Danio rerio: one gene and its partners. Each later gene encodes a partner of the first gene's protein in a complex. Links are inferred from orthologs where the notes say so. Each region holds a gene or a part of one and is shown in the gene's direction. Other genes may lie near its edges.

Region 1 (3,500 bases):
AGATGATCAGTTGCTATGCGATAACAAGTGCCAGCAGGAAACTGTAGGTTACCTTCCTCAAAATGTTTTGCCACGGATGCTTTGTAGACAGAAAAAAAGGCAGGGGCGGAGGAGGAGGAGGAGGGAAAATCTCAAGTCGTGGTCTGGGTGCTAAACATCATTAGGAATATTCCGGCACATGCTCCGATTCAGCATCTCGGGTACCAGACTGCAGCACTTTCTAAGGCTGGCTGTCATTTCTAGGCGCTCATGGTGCATGTGGGTGGTGAGAAGCGTGATTGGCCACGTGCTGCGGAGAAGGAGCACGCACAGATAATGTGTTTCTGTAGCCCGCACATCTGCCAACACACAGGCAGACGTTTTGTCATTCCAGCTCTTTAGAATAGGGGGCGTGAAGATGTAAAGCTGTTACGCTATTGGCTCCTTATTGAAGAATGCTAACCACGCCCACTTTGCAATAGATTGGATTTATGCTCTTGTGTGTGTGTGAGGGAGACACGTGAATGCCAGCCTAACATTAGAGATGACGTGTAAAAGTTGGTCTGTTTTATGTTTTATTGATTATTTTTGATAGCTATTGTGTGTTTGTAAATGTTCGTAAGATAGTAATAGGTAGATTTGAGGAATTTTTTGGCATAAATTAGACTGTGGAGACGTGATGCTGTAAGAATCATCACATGCTGAAAGCGAAGTCTCTCTCTCAATTCGATTCACTTCATTTGATTGGCATGACATGAGTACATATTCAAAGTGTACATAGCAAAGTCAATATAGATAATAGGAGTAGTAATCAATATTGAATATTAATTAATAACAATAATAATTCAGAATAAAATAGAAAGGAATATATACAGTATACATATAAAACAATAACATACATACATATATATTTATATAAAACATAATATATACAATGGGCTACTAGATAAGCAGTGGGTCCTTCACCTAGACGAATTCCTGATTTAATTATCACCATGTAGTGACTGGAACTGAGGAATATTCAGGGTTATTTGGCTGTACAGTGAATCTTGTATATTTCTCTCTCTCTCTCTCTCAGTCCTGACTGCAGTAGTTCTGCGGCTGGGCGTCAGCGCTCGACTCTCATGGTGCATGTGGGTGGAATTCCATGTGCTTGAGAGAGAGAATTGTTATTTTTTTTCAATGTTTTGTTGATGCATTTTTAGAAAACATTATAAATGGATCTCCAAGAACAGATGAAAACAATGGCGGAAACTCGCTTTATTATGTAGCAGTGAACGCTACAGATTACCATCGAGTCATGTTAGTTGCAGGCAAAGTTATTATGACTGATGTCAAATATTTTAAAAGTCTGTTTGATGGAAATTAGAGGTGCCGCTGGATGGTACGGGCCCTATGACAGTATTTCGAGAGTGTCAAGAGTTTGAGGGTGTTGTGGGTGCTGGGAAAGTGTCATGGAAGAGTGGGGGTTGGGGGTTGTCGTGGACTAAAGTGGGTGGCAGGGTAATTTGTTCATGGATTAAAGTAAAGAGCTGGGCGGTTGGCATCTGGTTGGGAGGTTGGCATCCCCTAATAGTGTCTCTGGGGGCCCCTAAACGGCTCCTAACTTGACCCCTCCCCTAGTGGCACCCCTGATTGTTATGCTTCATTTTTGTTTTTGGGGTTGCAGTTTTGCTTTGGCTTCACTCTTTGAAGAAATCCATTATTAAATCTAAATATGATACTGATACAACTGAATAAAGTGGTCATACGGCGACAAATTGCTTCATTTATAACTTGTGTGTTTGCTCTGTTGTATTTTTTTCTTCATTGTTATTTGGCTTTGTTTATTGATTTGCTTTGTTGTAGTTTAGCTAGGTATGTTTTGTTTTTCACTTTTATTTTGCTTTGTTTTGAGGTTTGCTTGTATTTTCACTTCAATGTTTTTTTCGCTTTCATTACGCTTTGTGGTGGCACAATGGCTCAGTGGGAAGCACCGTCGCTTCACAGCAAGACAGTTGCTGGTTCGAACCCTGGCTGGTTCAGTTGACATTCCTGTGTGGAGTTTGCATGTTCTCCCTGTGTTCGCGTGGATTTCCTTTGGATGCTCCGGTTTCCCCCCGAGTCCAAAGACATGCGCTATAGGTGAATTAAATAAACAAAATTGGCCTGTAGTGTATGAGTGTGAATGCGAGAGTGTGTGGGTGTTTCCCAGTACTGGGTTGCGGCTGGAAGGGCATCTGCTGCGCAAAACATATGCAGGAATAGTTGGCGGTTCATTCTGGTGTGGTGACCCCTGATTAATAAAGGGACTCAACCAAAAAGAAATTAAATAAACAAATGAATTTTGCTTTGTTTTTGGATTTTATTTTAGCTTGGTATGAGGGTTTTTTTGTCTTTTATTTCACTTTGTTTTAGGTGTCTTGGCTCAACATTTATTCACCAAAGAAATCAATCATCTCTTTGATGTAGGTGTCATGTTATTTTGTTTTTTTTTTTGTTAGTTTGTTTGTTTTTTTATATTTTAATTTTGGTTTGGTTGTTGTTTTGTTCAAAGTTTTTCTTTTTTGCTTTGTTGTCAGGTGTCAGTCATTTCCCGTGACGATAACAATCGACTGATTTGTGTTTTGCTCGTGCTCTGGTTGTATTTTGTTCAGGTATGTTTTTTGACATGGTTTTAAGCATCAGCTTTGCTCAGGGTTTATGTTGTCAAGGAATTAATCATTAATTGATCACATCATAACTTGCGAGTGTGTTCTTTTGTCTCTCAACAACAGAGGAATAATAATCAATCTAATTTGTGGATTGTGAGATGAGAAAGTAAGGCTGCAGTTTGTACACAAAATTTAAAAAAAGGTCTTTAATGTTATTTTAAGGTTTTTCCTTTTGGATTTTAGGCTCTTTGCTTAAAATAATCAATTCATGGCATCATAACATGCTTCCTTTTTATGAATTGCTTCTTTGTTTCGTATGATTTTTGATTGTCGCTCCTTTTCTTGGGCTTAACATTTATTAAGCAAATAAGTTGTGTGTTGTGCTTACAAATACATTTCTAACTCCTTTATTTCAATGATCAGGATTCATGGTTTGAAGTCAGGGAAGTGCTTGAAGGAGTTTAGAGGCCACACAGCTCATGTAAACGATGTCATCTACTCGCACGACGGCCAGCATGTCATTAGCGCATCGGCGGACGGCACGGTAAAAGTATGTATTCACACTGTAGTGTCCTGCCTTTACTAGTCTTTGCCTTTCACATGTACTTTTGAGGATTTTCTTACTCATTTTTGTTTTTCGTCAGGTCTGGACCGTGAAGACAATGGATTGCACCCACACAATAAAAACCCCTGACATCCCTGAGGGTACAGACATCACAGTTAACAATGTTGTGCTGGTTCCAAAGACCCCTGAGCACTTTGTAGTGAGCAATAGGACCAACACAGTGGTTGTTACGAACATTCATGGCCAGGTGAGAAACACTAATTGACCAAAACTGGCTTAAAGGAGTCTTTTTCGGGCCTTTTCATTATTTTTGTACAGTTATC
Region 2 (4,281 bases), on another chromosome or scaffold:
CCGCCATGACTGTCACCTTCACCGGAGGAAGTGCTCTTCTTCTGCTGCTGTTTGCAGCAAATGCCGCTGCATTTGATATACCGCCACCTACTGGAAAGTGTGGTAAAGTATAGAAGGGATACAGCTCACGCGGTTTTTGTGACGCTGTACAACAATTACTATTTTTAATATTCATACTGTAAAGGTTGGGTTCTGGGTTGGGGTAGGCGTTAGTAAAATGGATTATTGAGTAATTTAATAAATAATATAAATAATACTTGGTATAATTTTTATATACTGTGTGGGTTAGGGTATATGGAGGACGAAACCTGCAAAACAAAAAAATAAACAATTACGCAAATAAATAAATAAATAAATAAATAAATAAATAAATAAACACAAATTCCTGCATCAGTAAAACAATTAGATAAATAAAAGAATAAATAAATAAAGAAATAAATACCTGCATAAATAAAACAACAATTAAATAAATAAATGAATAAATAAATACACAAGTTACTGCATAAATAAAACAATACATAAATAAATACACAAATTAATAAACAAATCTATATATAAATACACAAGTTCCTGCATAAATAAAACAATAAATAGATAAATAAATACACAAATAAATAAATGAATAAATACACAAGTTCCTGCAAAAATAAAACAATAAATAAATAGATAAATAAATACGTAAATAAATAAATAAATACACAAGTTCCTGCATAAATGAAACAATAAATAAATATATACGCTGTAAATAAATAAATGTATATATATATATGAACAAAACCTGCAAATATATATATATAAAGTCTACTTTAAGTTTTCTTATTCCTCCAGCATTAATTATTAATCTGTCCACACTATATTTATATATTTATTTATGCAGGGATTTGTGTGTGTGTGTGTGTGTGTGTGTATATATATATATATATATATATATATATATATATATATATATATATATATATATATATATATATATATAATTCTTTTATTTATTTATTGTTTTATTCATGTAGAATTTTGTGGATTTATTATTTAATTTATTTGCATATTTATTAATTTATTTATTTATTTATTGTATTTTGAAGGTTTTGTCCTCCATAGAGATGGGGGTAGACGTTAATAAAATGCATTAATGGATAATTTAATAAATAATATGAATAATACCCTGTATAATCACTGTTTTTACATTATTGTGAGGGTTGGAGTAGGGATAGAGGTTAATACAATACAATCAATGGGTAATTTAATAAATAATATGAATAATATTCGGTATAATTAGGGTTTTTACATCACTGTGAGGGTTGGGTCCAGGATTGAAGTCGAGGTAAAAGTTAATAAAATACAATTTAGTTGAACATTTTATAAATAATGTAAATAATTCTCTTTAACCTCTGGCCGCAGCTGTATCCCTTCTAGCAACAACCGTATTCATCCAGCTCAACAAGAGGCGCTGCTGCTGCGAAAGCAGACAAAAAAGCGGAAGTGACATCAAGAGACGCACTATCAACATTGGAGTGCGTTGTGTTTTGGAGCTAGTAGTTTTATTTCATCATGCCTGAACGCGAAAGTAAGTATGATATGCAATTTATTTCTTATTTATGCGATGAGGGAGCGACAAAACAGACAGTGAATTAACGTTAGTATAATAAGCGAACATTTGCGCTGTTATGTTTTGCTAACACTCGCCTGTGTCTCCTGTGTAGATCGTTAAGGAAATGCGATGTTCATACAAAGATGATATTAGTGCACATGTAGTGAAATATGCATTATAACAATCCAAAGCAGACACTTCTCTAGTGTTTTACATTGCTGCAGAGTCCAGAAATGAAGTGACTGCTTCATAATTGACTCCAGATTTATGATTGGGGTAAAGTTGGCTTTATATTTGCACTTTCTCCTTAATAATATAATTTCAGAAGAGTAAAAGTAGTAAATTCATATTATCAGCCATTGACTATCATAGTACAACACTGTTCACTGTCAATTAATTAGTGCCAATGTTGTTTTTAAGTCATTCTTGCATGTGATTTCAGAATGAATATTGGAAAGTACCATGGTATACAATCTAGGGAGTAGGGCTGCACATTATATCGTTTCAACATTGATATCTCAATGTGCGCATCCGCAATAGTCACATCGCATAGATATGCAATGTCCAGTCTAGGCATGGGACGATAACTGCTTTCAAAGTATACCTTAGTTTGAGAAAGTCAATGTTTTAAAACCGTCAACATTTTCTGCTATACCGTTCCTAAGGTATGAGTAAGATTTTTTTATTTACATTTTTTATTTTTAGGGTCAGCAGTATCTCCAACAGAAAAGGTTTCCAAAGATGCTGTTTAAATCGTAAAGAACTCTGTGTTTTTAAAACTAATTAAGACTGCAGGAGTCAATTATTAAAGTTCGTCGAGACAAACTTTAGGCTGGGGTTGAGAAAATCTGTTGGAAATAGTTTATTTAGTTTAAACAGTTTTAAAAAGTATGAAAAGATGATAGATAGAAAGACAGTAATAGATAGATAGATAGATAGATAGATAGATAGATAGATAGATAGATAGATAGATAGATAGATAAAAGCAGTTTGAAAAAGGACAGATAATTTTGAGGTCACAAAGTTAGATCTAATGTAAATCAATGACAGTCTTTTGCAATGGAAGTCTATGGGACAGTTGTTGCTAGGGTGCAGTATGTGGTAGTTAGGGGTGTGGCTAGAAAGTTAAAAGCTCATCAGTTATTGGTAGTTTGGTAGTCTGAGTTAAATGAGCTCAGCCATTAGTCTGTAAGACAATCTGATGCAGAGTTATGAGCTCACAAAGTTTGATCCCATGTTAAGTCAATGAGAGTCTTTTGAATGGAAGTCTATGGGACAGTTTCTAGGATCCAAAAGTGGTTGCTAGGGCGTGGCCAGAAAGTTAAAAGCTCATCAGTTATTGGCAGTTAGGTAGTCTGAGTTAAATGAGCCCAGTTAGAAGTCTGTGTGACAGTCTGACGCAGAGTTATGAGGTCACAAAGTTTGGTCCAATGTTAAGTCTATGGGATTTTTCCGACGGTCCCGGGACGTTTTTCAGAAAACCGAAAGTCGGATCAGTCGGAAAAGATATAGCATATTACCGAGTCAGAATAGTTTGGAGGTCTGGTGTGAGTTTGGTGGTCATAGCTCGAAAGCTCTAGGAGGAGATAGATTTTGAATTTTAGTCTCAGAAGAAGAAGAAGAATAAAAATATTAAGTTTAAATAGGTTTTCAGTAGTCTGGCTTGTTTCCCAAGCCAGCCTAATAATTATTTAGCCTGACATGTTTACTGTTCTGAAATACTTAAAATGTTTCCCAAATTAAAATATATTGTGTACAAAGGGGGGAAAAGGTTTTGTTCTTTACCCAGTCATTTAAAAAGATTATATTTTAGAGCAGTAATCTCAGTAATCTCAAACAGTGATATTTATATGCAAGGTTATCATACCGTCAGAATCTTATGCTGGCCCATGCCTAGTCCAGTCTGTATTATAGATGACCAGGATTTAATCAAATGCACTTTATATGATTCATGCAAAAAACATTTCATTCATTAATCTCTTAATATACCTTTTTTCCTTCTGACGGTCAAAACAAAACAATATTTTTACTTGGTCTAAGAATTTAGTTGATATTTGGACTAGAAATGAGACGAAAAAAGTAAAAATATATATATTTTTTGCATTGTGATTATTGAATTTCTGTACCGGAATACACTGAGGTAAAGTTGGTTTTATATTCACACAATCAGACTTTCTCCTTAATAATAGAATTTCTAAAAAGTATTCTTTGCAAATTTTGAATAGTGAATACTAGGGATGTAACGGTATCAGAATTTCACGGTATGGTAATACCTCGGTATGAATGTCACGGTACGGTATTTATTGAATCATTTACAGGAAAAAACAAAACTAATGAAAATACTCCAAAAAAGTGCCAAAAGTGTCAATGGCATACAAATTAGTCATCTATCTGTAAGCTTTGAAACAGGAACTTCAATTTTAATAACAAAAAATTATTAAACCATGTAAAAAATAAAGTTTCAATTTAGTATTGTTGAAAACTCATCACATTCAACATTTAATCACTCACTCACTTAGATAGAGATGGGTTTTAAGGAAAATTATCATATAAATATAATCTGGTAAAAGCTGGTATCTCTGGGTATTTACAATGTCCCCTGCAACAGAAAAAAACCCTCTCATTTGGGACTGAGGTTTCTGGGACAGAGAGATATGACTTGGCCCAGGTTGACAGCAGTGGGTAACGTTGTG
Region 3 (4,096 bases), on another chromosome or scaffold:
ATATATAATAAAATACACAAACATCCATTTTTCTTTCATTTAAAAATAATAAAAACCACACACACACACTCAAAACTAAAAAAAAAAAAAAAAAAAAAAAAAAAAAAAGGATTAGTTAGACCTCTTGACCCCATCAAGATCTTCCGTCCCAACAGCTACACTAGCTGTAGACATCCTAAGTATGCATCGCTCAAGGATGGAGGACCTGAAGAGTGAATAATAAAATAATTAAAGGCACTAACAGATCATTTGGAATTAAGAAAAAACTATTCACAAGACAACCAGTAACAAATTATAAAAAAGAAAAAAAAGCATACCTGCGAGGCTTCTGAACAGCAGAAGGCTTTTCTCCATTTTGTGAAGCAGACAGTGGGGTTTTAGAGCAGCTGAGGGAAAAACAATGTGCAGGGTTTCTCAACACAACATTTTCAAGTTCCACCCCCCCCCAAAATAATAATTATAATAAAAATAAATAAATAAAAAGGTTCCTTAAATCAACAGAAACACATTTACCTGACAAGACTATCATACACTGAACTGCAGCCAGGAAGCAGCCAAGGCTCTGGGCTACATGGGAGAGAGAGGGTTTTACTACTGAAGTCTTGAGCAACGTCTGTTGGCCACAAGTGAAGAGGCAGACCTCTAAATCACAAAAAAATAACAAAATACAAAGTGTTTTACGATACTACATGAGGACAACAACACATGAGGACACTTTAAAGGCACAAAACAAGCTTTGAAACATACAACCGCGACTCAAAGGGGCTTTGAAGAAGGCTTTCTATGCGTGTTGTCATGATTTTGGCTAACGTACAGCCACACAACACATTGCGCTTGACAAAGCTTTTTATCAGCGACAGGTGTAACGGGGGCGGGGCTCTACAAATGAGACAGGTAAGGCCGCTAATTATTAAAAAAAATAATAATAATAATGATTTATCAAATCGATATTATTTTAATTAACGTTTTATTTAATAACGGTTTTTATTTCACTGATTTAAACATGTAGATGTAAAATTCTTGTAGTGAAATAGTATGTCTCTATTTAGACACATTGAAGAAAATTGTCCAAGTAACGAGAGGAATAATACAGTAGGCTTGTCACAAATGTAGTCATTAAACAGGTTTTTGACTAAATGTAAGCATAACTTATTTGAAGCCCAAACATATAAATAAAGTAAAAAAAAACAATTACCAAGCATGATGACACTTTTACAGTCGGCAAAATAGTAACAGCAGTTCGGCAGGGGCGCTTGTTTACGGCAGCCGCACACGCTTTACGGCATCCTCATAGCAAAATGGCGTCAGGCAGTGGGGTAAGAATTCTGTTAAGACTTGTTTATATGTTATTTTAGTCTATCCGCTTACTTTAAACGTAATTTAGGAAAGTATTTATTTTGTAGCGTCATGTGTTAGCAAATGTTGGTATCGTAAAAGGTGAATGAAGAAAAAACTGGCCGATGTTGTGACGCCAGATGGTTTTGTTTTGTTGTGAACAAGAAGAAAAACAGATATATTTCAGTTGTAAAGCGTTTCGTTACCTATATTGCCTTGTATTATCTTTTTAAAATCATAGTTAATCTATTAGTATAATCATATTATGGCTTATTTATGTTCGATCTTTTGTACAGACGTTTTTTGTGCAGTTCCAGTAGATTTGCTTAACGTTATTCAACTGTCATGGTTATGCTATTAAAATGTTTAAAATTAAGATTTATGTGGGCCTTTAAAGTTTAAATTAGACAATAATCCCTTAAAAAAGGTTTTAAATCAGCAGATATTTATACTTTCTAAGGCATTAAATGTTGCATACTCCGCAAAAGTTTATATTTTCCTCAATATTTTTATGTTTTCCTTTATAAAAATCATAAACGTCCTTAAATGAGGTTTCATTTACTCGATAAATAATTTAAAAAGTTTAATATATTGTTTGTTATTAAAGAAGAAAAATGACTTTGCTGTTTGAGTGTTTATTTCTGAGCTCATTTTAGTCTCATATCTATTAAAAATCTATTATGATTTCATAATCTTTAGACATGAGTAATGGAAAGGATAGAACACCAAGGAAGAATGTGCTTTTTACAGTGTGACAAAAAGTACCGTGAATAATACAGATTGGTATATTCAAACCTAAAAGTTTAGCCAAGTATATACAACTCATTGTTTCTGCAACTCAGTGTTTGTATGTTGTGTTCCCTTAAAATGATTCATTACATTTTCATTGCGAGGTCTTTAAAAGGTCCTTAAAATGTCTTAAATTGTACCTTCATCATTTACAATCATATTCTCGTTTCTAGTCCAAGAATGATTTTCGACGGAAATGGGACAAGGATGAATATGAACAGCTGGCCCAGAAACGAATCACAGAGGAGAGAGAGAAAAAAGATGGTAAGCTAAAACAACCCTAAAAACCCTTCAGTATATACAGTTATCAGAGACAAAAAAACTAAAGGATCACTTGTAAATTCTCAATTTCTCTGAATTCATTGGATATAAAATGTAAAATATTTGTTTTATTCTGTAAGTCTAATAATATTTCTTCCAAAAATTAAATTAGATAAATATTGTACATCAGAGCTTTTCCTTTTTTTCCAGAAAATGTCTATTTTATTTAACATTTGTAAAAAAAATATCATCAGTAGTTCACAGAATAAAACCAAAATTATGTCTCACTCAAACACATAATAACAAATGATAAATTCTGATAAACGTTCAGTGGAATTTTTTTGTATATGTAAGTTGTATCTTTATTCAGTAAATTAAATGAAGTATGGTCAAATAAACCCATATGCTGACAACAAACTGAAATAATTCTCTCATGCCTAAATATTTTACAAACGTAAATAATTCTGGCCAATATTTCCTATGTCATTCTTCTTTTTTGTTCTCCAGGCAAGCCTGTGCCCCCCATCAAGCGGGAGCTCCTCCGCCACAGAGATTATAAAGTGGATCTGGAGTCAAAACTGGGGAAAACAATCGTCATCACGAAGACCACACCACAGGCTGAGATGGGAGGGTGGGTGTAACCTGAAACTTGTATTTATGTTTTAGTATAAATATTAATAATAAAATATTAATATACTATTTTTTTTTCATTCTAAGGTATTACTGCAATGTGTGTGATTGTGTAGTAAAGGATTCCATCAATTTCTTGGATCATATCAATGGTAAAAAACGTAAGTATTATAAGGTCTTTGTTCTTTCTTATAATTTGCACAACATCTTGTAGATAAAATGTGGTTTGCATGTAGACACACTCCCTATAGAAAGCCTTCTGTGCAATATCGTAAATTGTATTCTATTTTAAAGGATATTTTTGTTGCGGAAGTCTCTTACAATAGGTTCAGATCCATCCAAAGTCAAAAAGCACTTTCATTTTCTCAAACTTTACATTATTAACTCATTTCTCAGAGTTGATTTCAAATGTTGATTCTGTATCATTGCTTCACGGTAGTTTTGTTTTTGCGGTGGAGAAAACAGTACTCAGGTTGGCTTTATGAAACTTTGTAACAAATCTACATAGGCTTGTGCAGGAAATAGGACTGGAAATACTGATGACTCATTTCATACCTTTTAATATAGATTCTTTCTATTGGGAGAAAATAACCACACTTTAAATATCCACTTTGATATTCAAAACCTGACAGACATATATGTCACAAAAAGATATACTTATATTTTGTCAAGTCCGAAATTATTCAAACCCCTGGCATATTCTGACTTAAAGATAATTTTATTCAACCAGCAAGTGGTTGCTTTTAACCGAAAGTGACACAGGCTTCTCCCATGATGTACAAGAGGCATCAGTGTGGGGAAAAAATCTGCTTTTATTTTCAGACTTGCCTATATATTATAAGAAAACAGATAAAAGTTAAAAGATAGGCACCTACCATCATCCAGATGTTCCTGAAAACTTTGTTGGAGAGCACATCAGTCAATGAAAGTAGTTATGCTATATAAATAAATGTCATACACAAAATAAACGGTAATATCTGATAAGATAAATTATGAACACTTTAATTTAATCAAATGAATCTATATGTACTTGTTTGTAGCAGCTCTGTTTATTATTATTCTTTATGTTGCTCATGTAAAT

The links.
Region 2: smu1b (region 1) and ik share a complex: the UniProt entries of both Homo sapiens proteins name them as parts of the spliceosome B complex. The link is inferred for Danio rerio from reciprocal best matches to the Homo sapiens genes SMU1 and IK.
Region 3: smu1b (region 1) and zmat2 share a complex: the UniProt entries of both Homo sapiens proteins name them as parts of the spliceosome B complex. The link is inferred for Danio rerio from reciprocal best matches to the Homo sapiens genes SMU1 and ZMAT2.

Annotation. Positions count from the first base shown.
Region 1 is NC_133176.1:48,281,857-48,285,356, reverse strand, and holds part of smu1b (WD40 repeat-containing protein SMU1), read left to right. Parts: intron 1-2,540; exon of another isoform or gene 2,541-3,035; coding exon 3,036-3,162; intron 3,163-3,256; coding exon 3,257-3,424; intron 3,425-3,500. UniProt on the Homo sapiens protein: Involved in pre-mRNA splicing as a component of the spliceosome. Regulates alternative splicing of the HSPG2 pre-mRNA. Required for normal accumulation of IK.
Region 2 is NC_133196.1:47,757,565-47,761,845, forward strand, and holds the start of ik (protein Red), read left to right. Parts: upstream 1-1,481; 5' UTR 1,482-1,548; coding exon 1,549-1,564; intron 1,565-4,281. Other genes in the region: ndufa2 (NADH dehydrogenase [ubiquinone] 1 alpha subcomplex subunit 2), read right to left, coding at 1-7. UniProt on the Homo sapiens protein: Involved in pre-mRNA splicing as a component of the spliceosome. Auxiliary spliceosomal protein that regulates selection of alternative splice sites in a small set of target pre-mRNA species. Required for normal mitotic cell cycle progression.
Region 3 is NC_133196.1:32,947,826-32,951,921, forward strand, and holds the start of zmat2 (zinc finger matrin-type protein 2), read left to right. Parts: upstream 1-1,296; 5' UTR 1,297-1,298; coding exon 1,299-1,316; intron 1,317-2,297; coding exon 2,298-2,388; intron 2,389-2,892; coding exon 2,893-3,016; intron 3,017-3,102; coding exon 3,103-3,176; intron 3,177-4,096. Other genes in the region: slbp2 (stem-loop binding protein 2), read right to left, coding at 122-205, 318-386, 514-642, 748-797. UniProt on the Homo sapiens protein: Involved in pre-mRNA splicing as a component of the spliceosome.